Linked DNA regions of Xenopus tropicalis. The protein of the gene in region 1 interacts with the protein of each later gene in a pairwise test. Links are inferred from orthologs where the notes say so. Each region holds a gene or a part of one and is shown on either strand. Other genes may lie near its edges.

Region 1 (5,032 bases):
TCTGAAGGTGTGACGGTCTGGGGTGTCTCAGGGTGGTATGACTGATAAGGAGGTCTTTGTCTGTTGTAATTAGATGCCTGTGATGGATCCTGAAATAATAAATAATAATAGTTACCAAATCAGTACATTTAAGAAATGTTATATACTGCTGCTAATTTATATAGTTAATTCAGCAACTACCAGCAATAAACAAACACATACAATATCATATGGAAGCCAGGGCAAACTCCCAAAATTCAAGTTATGGTTCAAAAACTTGAGTTTTTGGTATTTATTAAGTGCAAAAATTTTAATTAAAAATTCGGCAGCCAAAAGCTTGAAGAAATCAATGACAGTTGTCCTAGGCAAAGTCAAGAGATTTCAGAGTTGTCTGTGTTTTTTGTAAACTTGAAAATTCAAGGTATTCCAGTTTTTTTTATTTGATCTTAATAAATAAGCAAGCGTTCGAGTCTTTACTCAAATTAGAAAAAAAAACCCTTGAATTCACAAACTTGGAAATGAATAAATAAGTCCATGTTTGTGGCACAGCAGAAACACGGAGGAGCATGTCCCTGAAAAACCATGCATCTGCTATGCCATAAGCATACTTCACTTTGGAGTAAAACCTGGGATTACAAAAAGAGCTATGTAATGCTAGCACAAAGTTTGCCCTAGTTATGTAACCATGGAAACCAGTCAGGTGTTTGTATTTATTATTTTAACAGCCGATGAGTTGCTGTGGTTTTCTGTGCCAGTGACTTTACCTTCATATAACTACATATCCCCTAAATGCCATTTGCAGCTTAGAGTCTGTGAAAAGCAGCAGCACAATAGATCCAAGCTGTGGCTAATGCCTACTTCCCTATAACTACCAGCGAGAGTGCCAGCAACACAGATTCTACATGTTTACAATTTTATGTAGCTCCACCTACCTTTATATCATACGAAGCATTTGGTATGTCTGCTCCAGGCCACCCTGCTCTGCCCCCAGGGACATAATGGCTGTTGGCCGGATTGTGGTGAGCAGGAGGAGCAGTGGGCCAATGGTAAGGGTTGGGGACTCCATAAACCCAGCCTTCACCTTGGGGACTGTGCTGAGGCATTGCTGGTTGGTGGAGGCCAGAGGCTGCTTCTCGGTACTGGTAGGCAGAGACTGTCTCCTGCTAAAAACAAATTTTTACATTAGTTTATTGGTTTGATTGGCTGGTCCTTCTAAAGGTCTGAGTATTGTAAAATGTGTTGTTTCTTGAAAGTAAAGTTCATTTTAAAATGAACAAATAGTAGTCAATAAAAGTTTGCCATTGTTTTATTTTATATTATATCTATATCTACATGGGTATATATTCGAACAAAATGGGCCGCTCCACACAGGACTTATGAGAAAACAACATAATTTATAAGAAGTATAACAAGACTGATGTTTCGCCTGCTCCTGCAGAAAGAACATCAGTCTTGTTATACTTCTAATAAATTACGTTGTTTTCTCATAAGTCCTGTGTGGAGCGGCCCATTTGGTTCGAGTATCTATTTAGAAATTTGAGGACTGCACCCAGACAATAAGAGATGTTTTATCGTGAGTGCCTACCTGTTCGAACTATATATATATTTTTTTTTTCACTTCCTTGTTCTGAAGCAATCCTGTTTACCACATAAATTACCACATAATAGACTGCTATTAAGCAACCACACAGGAAGAATATGAAACATCTTAAACAAAAGAAAGGCATAAAAAAATGAAATCTAGCCTCATCAAGCCTCCGATAACCGATACAGGTATGGCACCTACTATTATTTTAACTAAATACACCTTGAAGCAACTTCCAAATTATGCAGAGTGTTTGCTACCTGCCTTACCAGGGAATTGTAAAAGCGTCTGTATCTGATATATTACCAGATGGTAGATTCTGAACCACCATATGGCCACTGGGAATCCCTGTGATGTCATGAGCAATGTCTGGGATGCCCCATTCAACCACCAACTGCTTCCCAATGTAGATCCTTACTGAATGCACAATGGAAGGGGATTCCTTTTATTATATATTCCATCTACTCACCTGATGAGGAGCATATGGTGAGTATCCCTGCGGATGTTGGGAGACACCATGATAGCCATGTTGAGGAGGGTAACCCCACTGAGGCTGTGCCTGAGGGTTCCCCCCCGACTGCTTGTAGGGATCGACTGAATAAGGGGGTTGTGAAGGAGGAGGGTAGTATTGATTTGGCTGGGGGACACAAGCATAAGGGGGATTCATAGAGCCTGGGGCATAAGGAGATGCATAGGAGCCATTTGTGTAGGGTTCCATCCTCTGTACCTAGAAAGTAGTAGAAGAAAAGTCACCTATGCAGCAATGAGGTTTTAAATATGAGACCCAAGAGTCAGTGTCTTAAGTCTATATACACATACCTGATCTCTAGCAGGGTAGTTAGTGGGATATGGGTGCCGTGGATGGCCAGAACAGGACCAGTTTGGATTGTAGCCGGGATATGATGAGTTCTGAAAGATTTGAAAAACAGAAAAGTGCCATGTGGTATGAGATATATATGTGTTTGTATTAGCTGTGGGCTAAATATATTACAGAAACAGGTGCTGCTCTCCCCCAAAAATGTCCCATAACTATCTACTTATTGTACTATAATTGAGTAGGGCTGGCAAACGCCTGAAATGCTTTAGTGTTGGAAATGCTAGAAACAAACATTTAGTAATTTGTGCAGTATCAGGGCTGACCTAGGTGGATGAACGTAAGGAACAAATAGGAATCTGATCTTTACTTGATGGACTGGGTACAGAAACAAAGTGTGTCCTTGCACTTGTTACTTGTATTCACAGTGTGCTAAGTTTGAGGGCACCTTGAACGCACCACAAGCAAAAGGCCAAAGACATTATAAAGTACCCTACATCCCACATGGTGTTTGGTCTACCACTGGCATCCCATAGTAAACAGCAGCAGACAAAGTGCCCCTGGCTCTCACTGCTACATGTGCATTCAATGGGGTTCTTTACACTTTCTAGTATCAGGAGCAGTGACAGGCAGACAGGGGCATTTTGACCTCTGCTGTTCTCCACTAGGGGGCAAAGACAGTCGCAACATCAGTGTGCCATTGCCTAAGTTGCACAACAATGACGTAACTGGCATTACAAATTCACAGAGGCCCCCCGTCAGCCCAATACATAGTGACTAACTATGGCATCTTACAGCAGCCTATTTGGCATCTGCCAGAATCTACAGATTACTAGTCCAGACCTGGTGTGTATGTTAAACTGGGCACACCTTAAGATATTGTGTAGTCTGCCCAAGCAGAAGATCACTCTAAAATTAGTATCTATCCCTCATCATTAGCCAACAAATGGAGTCAAGGCACCTAACTAGCAGTCCTGCCATCTGCCAGTTTGGTCAAACATGGCTTGAAGTGACCACCAGATTGGTCTATGTGTGTATTGCCTTAACGCCCCAGATTGATATAAAAAAGGGCAAAAGGAATGCGCATCAACCCCCTGCTACAGCATGAATGATTACATATACAGACAGTGACAAGTACTGTACCTTACCTTAGCAGAATTAAGAGAAGAGCCTGGATCAGCTCGAGCTGATTTTAGAATAAAGTCTCCGTTTATACTACCTGGAAATGCTGCCTTTGTCACTATGTAAGGGGCTGAGTTAGGGCGAGGAATTGCTAGTGAGTCAGAAAAATAAAATGACAGGCAAAAGAACGTGCCACAGCAGGAGCTTCCCTTACGTCATGCACTTAATGAACACATACTGACGGACATTACTGTACGGCTTTTGTTTGCTAACTACACTGTAATTAAACATCACAAGGGTGGATTCAGTGCCGATTAGGTGATCCCAGCTTTAAGAATGTGCTTCATGCCTCCAGCTGCCATTATATGAGCAGGCAAAGAGCGGCCAGGATCTGCTTGCCACTGCCACCATTTGTTTCAAGTACTGTTGCTTTAAGAATCCAGACCAGATAATGCTAGGCTACAAATCACAAGAACCACTGACCCTAAATAATATGCCAGGGTCATTTTATCCTGTTATATTTTATTTCCCTATGTATATATCTCTTTTAAACAGTATATTACACCGAGCAATGGCGACTTTTTAAAGTTTTATGTGGTGTTACTTGCTGAAAGCCAGTTTAATTAGCGACAGCCTCTACATGAGTAGATAAGTCTATGTTTGCCCGAGGACGACTGGGGAAGGTAAGAAAACATGGCACTTTTTCCCTAAAAATATATTTAAATATATATATTGCTAAGCCAGAAAACAACAGTGGATAAATCACCTGTCAGACTGAGTGTGTCTGAGCAAAGGCCTACACTCATTACTGACCGTAACAATGTTTTTTTTTTTAACTCCCTGTCTTGGCACTGTAACCCTTACAGGGCACTGTTAACTACCCGAGTGTGCCAGTTGTCTTTTGGCGACACCAGGCTCCTCCAGTTCTACATTGTCATCCAGCCACCTCTTTCTTGAATGTTCCAATGAGCGAAGGCCTACAGGCAAAGACAAGAGGACCTCTGCACTCAACCACTATCAATAGGACATTAAAACATTCTGTGCATTGAGCTACCAAGCAATGCCCCCCCCAGGGATTGTTTTACCATATATTGCAATATACTTCAAGCTGGTTGACTAAATCAAAGTCATCCCCGTCCTGGCCAGTCCTACATTCATTTTTATCTAATTTCTGTTACTTCATTATACATTTTTCACAGGGACTAAGCTTTTTCTGGTTGCTTTCAGTTTTAAAACTCCCAAATGGTTGCCCTTTTTATTGGCCCCACTGGGATCAACTGACTGTAGCTGGGAAGGGTGGGAGCTACAACATGGAGCTAAATTTGTAACCCATTGGGGTGCAATGAGGCTGTGACCACAAAATATACATACACAGCAACAAGAGGTCCTCTACTCTCACCCATTTTCAATATATATAGGACATTAAGACATTCTGTGCATTAGGCTACCAAGAAATGCCCTGCCCTTTAAGCAAAACATGGATGTTTGTCCATATATTAACAAGTCATTAGGGTTTAGGAGACCGTCTCATA
Region 2 (5,032 bases), on another chromosome or scaffold:
CACCGACAATTTGCTGCTATTCCAGCCTAAGACTTAAATTCATTATATAACCAGTCTACATTACTGGATAAAAAATCAACAGGAGGTCAGACAAGACTCCTGTGCCTACAACCATAGTTGATACCTCGGCACAGGAGACGTTAGATCAGGTGTGTGAGACGCTAGATCAGGTGTGTCTCACACACCTGATTGTGACTCCCTCCACAATACTAAAATCACACAGGATATTCTATACAGATTAACCTTACCGTCGTTACAAATGTTGCCAGCATAAAACCAACCACGATTATAGATACTTTATAAGCAACAGTATGCAGGAGAGTAACCGTGAGAATTGAAACATGTTCAAGGTGTGAGTTAGAATTTTAAATTTTCCTTTCTTGTCTTTTCTATCTATTTTAGCAGGATTTTAACCACTTAGAAGTAAAAGTTATATTTTAACTTAACTAGGTGTGCCAGTTCTAGGTTCTTTTTGTGTCTATAACACTACAATGTACAATCATGTCTTAGGACACCAAGGTATGCTATGCATAAAGCATAAAGCAGAGAGATGAACAAGTAGTATCCATTCTCAGGACTTTCATACCAATCCATACAACTTTTTTTGTTATTCAAATAATGAAAAAAAGCAAATTACATTATGGTAATCATAACTAGGTTTGTTTTATGATTTGATTTTTGCTATCATGGTTATACACTTTTGTCTTTTCAAGGTTATTACTAACATATGTAACCACACAAACACATACAGCATAGTAATAAGGTGAGCTGCCAAAACAAATAAATAAATATAATTAGCCCAGGTATGAGGCATGTTATGGAATTCCTCTATCTTTCTCTCTTTTAGAAAGCACAGCATGAATCATCCAAAGACTCTATAAATATGGCTGTATTTAAAGATGTGAGTATATAGTTTAAGGATACTGTTTTTCTCTGTCATTTGTATAGATATAGACACGGGCTACCAACTGACTGACTTTCATATATAAATAAAAAATTATATATATAAAGAAAAATCTTACCTGACACTTATCACCTAAGCAATAGTGTCTTCCAGCAAACACCATGTAATCCGTTTTCTGAAGTTCTACAAAGGGAAATTGTACCACATTTAAGTTTCGGATATTCATATTTCTTAATTCAAGAACATTAAAGCAGGCATTTCAGAACAATGGCAGGGCATAAAGGACAAAGTGTTCAGCTATGTAAAATAATAGAACTGCAAAACAATCACACTATAAAACATTTAGCAGTTAAATGATTTTCTCCAAAAATAATAAGTCTCTAAGAGATCTGCGATTTACTAAAAATTGAATACAACAATTTTTGGCAAATTAACTTTGCACTGGCAAACATTCTCTTTGCATAGGTGAAAATTCACAAATTTTTGCAAGACAAAATTTCACCAGTGGACCAATTTACTAAGAGTACAAAGATGATTTTTTTCTAGAAAAAATTCTCCAGGATCAAGCTGACAAGCTGCCATTATAAAGCTAGAGCAGCCAACGTTTGCATTTCATTATCTACATTACCTTCTTCCATGCTATTTCCCCCTCATTTCTTCAAGGCAACAATTCTCTCCTATGGGGAATTTATAGCACATTTCTTTATGGCACATTTCTATTACAATTTTGAGTATGTAGGAGATATGTTGTGAAAATATAACTGGATAATTAAGGCAAACTTTGGTAAAGTTGGACAAGGAGAAAAATCACACTTTAGCAAACATGTCCCATAGTCCAGATTTGTGGTAAGCTATGAATTTAAAAAAACAAACAAAAAAAACTTGAAGAGCCTCAGAACATTCAACTTAATATAATTATGTTTTTGCAAAACCTATTAATATATCTATCTATACTTGCCAGTTCCATGGTCTGCTTAGCTCCACTATATCATTTACATTTTTTTTTACTTAAGAGTTATAAATAGAGATACATTTTATATAAATTAATCATTTCAAACTTTTAGAAACTACAGTTCTTGGCTAATGAAAGGACTGCACTGCAAGAACTGAACTTAATTATACCAGTGCTGTGAAAATACTGTGTGTGTCTTTACAACTTTAATAATGTCACAGACTAACATAAAGGGAGCCTTTGCAGCATGTATGTATGCATGCATTTATGAAAAAATGTACCTTTTCTGCTGTCTAACCAGACATCAAATTCTACATTTCTGTAGATTTCTGGGTCAAGGGCTTTCAAAACCTTATATGGGAAGGGCATCTTGTTAGGATTTTCTGTGGACTGTCAAAAAAAAAAAAAAAAAAATTTAGACGTGAGCATTTTACTATTTTAATAAATGTGAAACAAACGGTTTCAAAAATCAAACAGTATCTAAAATATTCACAATTTTCAGCTGAAAGACTTACTAGAAAGTCAATTTACAGTACATGGACAGTTGAGCATTATGCTATATTTCCAAGGACAAGTACAGCTGTATTTAGCTAAGCCTAGCTGTACATGCAAGGCCGAGTGCTTTTATAAAGGGGGATATTATTTATTATAATATACACAAATTTCAATGAGTTGTCCTACAGAAATTACATCACTAAGCACCAATTATGACATGTTAACCTTTAAGATACATTTATGTATTTTGAGGCCCTGTCTGACCTTACAGCACAAATTACTTATTACAGGACTGTTTCACCCCCAGCTAACCATATTTAGGGGATTTTGAGGCAGAATAGTTTGTCGCGCTAAAAGAATCAGGGTGTGATATAAATGTCATTGATTTCCAAAAGGCAAGGTTGTTGGGCATGCAAAGACCAGAAGATTCACATTAACATGCAGACTTAACGCATGAGCTGGCATATATATCTATTGCAAAAAAATGCTATTTTTTAAAATAATGTTTCAAGTTATTTTTCTAAGGAACTTCCGAATTCCAAAATAATCTCAACTTAGAACCAATACCTTTATATATATATAAAGAAAAAAAAAAAAATAACCTTTACGTCATCTGTGGTTTGTCTGGATTTGTCATCCAAGAAATTATCACCACCTTTAACTTCCCAATCTTTAACCCTGCAGAAAAAAAAAAAACAAATTAATATTACTTCCTAATTCAGCAAAACAACAAATTAACATCTTGGTGCCAGAAAAAACAAAGATGTACCTATGAAAAATGTATCAGCACTTCGGGCATTTTAGGCACTTCAAATGTGTCCCAACAAGATTGCTGGATGGTCTGTTGAAACCAATGCCCGACCTGCTATAGATGGTCAGGCAGTATGGCTAAAAGCTGAGATAGATATCTACCTGTTATCAGACGACTGTTTTGATGTTTGTTCTGGAGAGCAGTCAAAGTTGGCATCTTCACTACCAGTGGAAGCACTATTTCGATTCTTCTTTGTACCACTTCGGAAGAGATCAACGGCTGCAAGCAGCTCTCTTTCATCCACACCAAAAACATCTCTATATAGGCACTCATACAGAACGGCTATGTAGGCAAGCAATTTATTAAAACAGATTTTGCAACAATTGGGAAATAAGTTAATACAAATGTCAACTTAATTACAACCTAATGTCCTTCATCAGGAGTAATACCATGATTTTGGTATGTCGTGTATTTTAGGAAAGCGTTTTATTATCGTCTAAGAGATTCAGAGGAGCCTTTTTTATTATTAGTGGTTTATGACAAATCATCATTATTGGAGAAATTAACTTCTTACAACAGATCTACAAAATGGAAATTGTACTCAGTATTCTTTTTTGCATAATGAAAAATTTTATTCTAAACAACTTAAATAATGTACAGTAGTTTTGGAGATATTTGCAAATGTGATTGCTATTGAAAGCAGTTCTTATCTGTCCATTTGCATTCTCTGCGCTGCTAGTTCTGACTCTTTACACAATGCAGCAGAAGGAAATTGAAGTCTTGCATGGAAGAGAGCTGGTCTTTGTTACAATGTTCCGGGAGCGAAATCCAGCAGTAAAAAATGGACAAATAAATACTGATTTCAATTACAATTAACTCAAACCATTGGGAACGTTTTATTGTATACAGTAGCTTACAATAGCATTTTTCATTATTTGTTTAATTAAACACCTGCACTAGTAGGACCAGCCAGCTGACAAGGGCCAATTGTGAAAGAAAAGTATCAAGTCTAAATAGATGCCATAGCAACATAGTAGCAGATTTCCACACTGAGCAAAGAGGCAGCATAATGATTCTGGCTAATTCTGGTACAAAATGTTCCTGAAAAGCCAGACCATTTAAGAAAACTATAGCGGTTTAAGTTCTACACTAAGGGGCACATTCATAAAAACGTGAGTTCAAATCCCGAATGGGATAAATTCAGATTGGATATGAAAGTTTCTGAAGATCGCATATATCATGAAAATGCTTACAAAAAAATCGTATTAGTCATGATAATATCGTATTGGCGATCCAAAAGTCACGAAATTTTCGTACTGAACAATTGTAAGTGGGAAAACCTTTCCGAATTTTTTGCGCAAGTGTACGAAAAAGTCACTTGGGCTCACTTGGGCATTAAAAAATTTGGAGAAAATACGCTTGGAGCGTTCGAACGCTTTGAGCGTTCATGTCTTAGTAAATCTGCCCCTAAGTGAGGTGACAAGTGCCCCAGTGTTGCATACCTCATATATTATGCATTATATAATATACTGCCAAGCAAGAGGGGTTTTCTGCAAATTTAATCTATGACTTCTACTTGGCTTTTAGTACCATCTAGTGGAATCTTGTATTTACAGGTTGCCAAAGACAGCTGCACTGACAATCACAGCTTCCGAGTATAGAAAGAAAGAAATAGAGAGACAAAACAAAAAAGTGAGGAAAGTGAGTTTATATACTTACCTTGACATATAGCAGCATTAGCTTGGAATGCTTTGGTAAATACAGAGTCATAATGCCCATTGCTTGAGCAACATAACATTATCTAAACAGAACAGAAAAAAACTGCATTCATGAGTACCCAATTAGAAAAAAAGTATTTATCAGAGACTAATGGAAACTTAAAAGGCAATGCATATTCTGGCAAAAAGATGCACAGGCATAATAATCAGTA

Evidence for each region.
Region 2: the proteins of bag4 (region 1) and alg13 interact in binary tests that used the Homo sapiens proteins (3 or more experiments, as listed by UniProt). The link is inferred for Xenopus tropicalis from reciprocal best matches to the Homo sapiens genes BAG4 and ALG13.

Annotation. Positions count from the first base shown.
Region 1 is NC_030679.2:132,223,734-132,228,765, reverse strand, and holds part of bag4 (BAG family molecular chaperone regulator 4), read right to left. Parts: intron 2,474-5,032; coding exon 2,384-2,473; intron 2,292-2,383; coding exon 2,034-2,291; intron 1,143-2,033; coding exon 912-1,142; intron 90-911; coding exon 1-89. UniProt on the Homo sapiens protein: Inhibits the chaperone activity of HSP70/HSC70 by promoting substrate release. Prevents constitutive TNFRSF1A signaling. Negative regulator of PRKN translocation to damaged mitochondria.
Region 2 is NC_030684.2:51,806,716-51,811,747, reverse strand, and holds part of alg13 (putative bifunctional UDP-N-acetylglucosamine transferase and deubiquitinase ALG13), read right to left. Parts: intron 4,904-5,032; coding exon 4,822-4,903; intron 3,445-4,821; coding exon 3,264-3,444; intron 3,030-3,263; coding exon 2,954-3,029; intron 2,247-2,953; coding exon 2,138-2,246; intron 1,088-2,137; coding exon 1,023-1,087; intron 1-1,022. UniProt on the Homo sapiens protein: Catalytic subunit of the UDP-N-acetylglucosamine transferase complex that operates in the biosynthetic pathway of dolichol-linked oligosaccharides, the glycan precursors employed in protein asparagine (N)-glycosylation.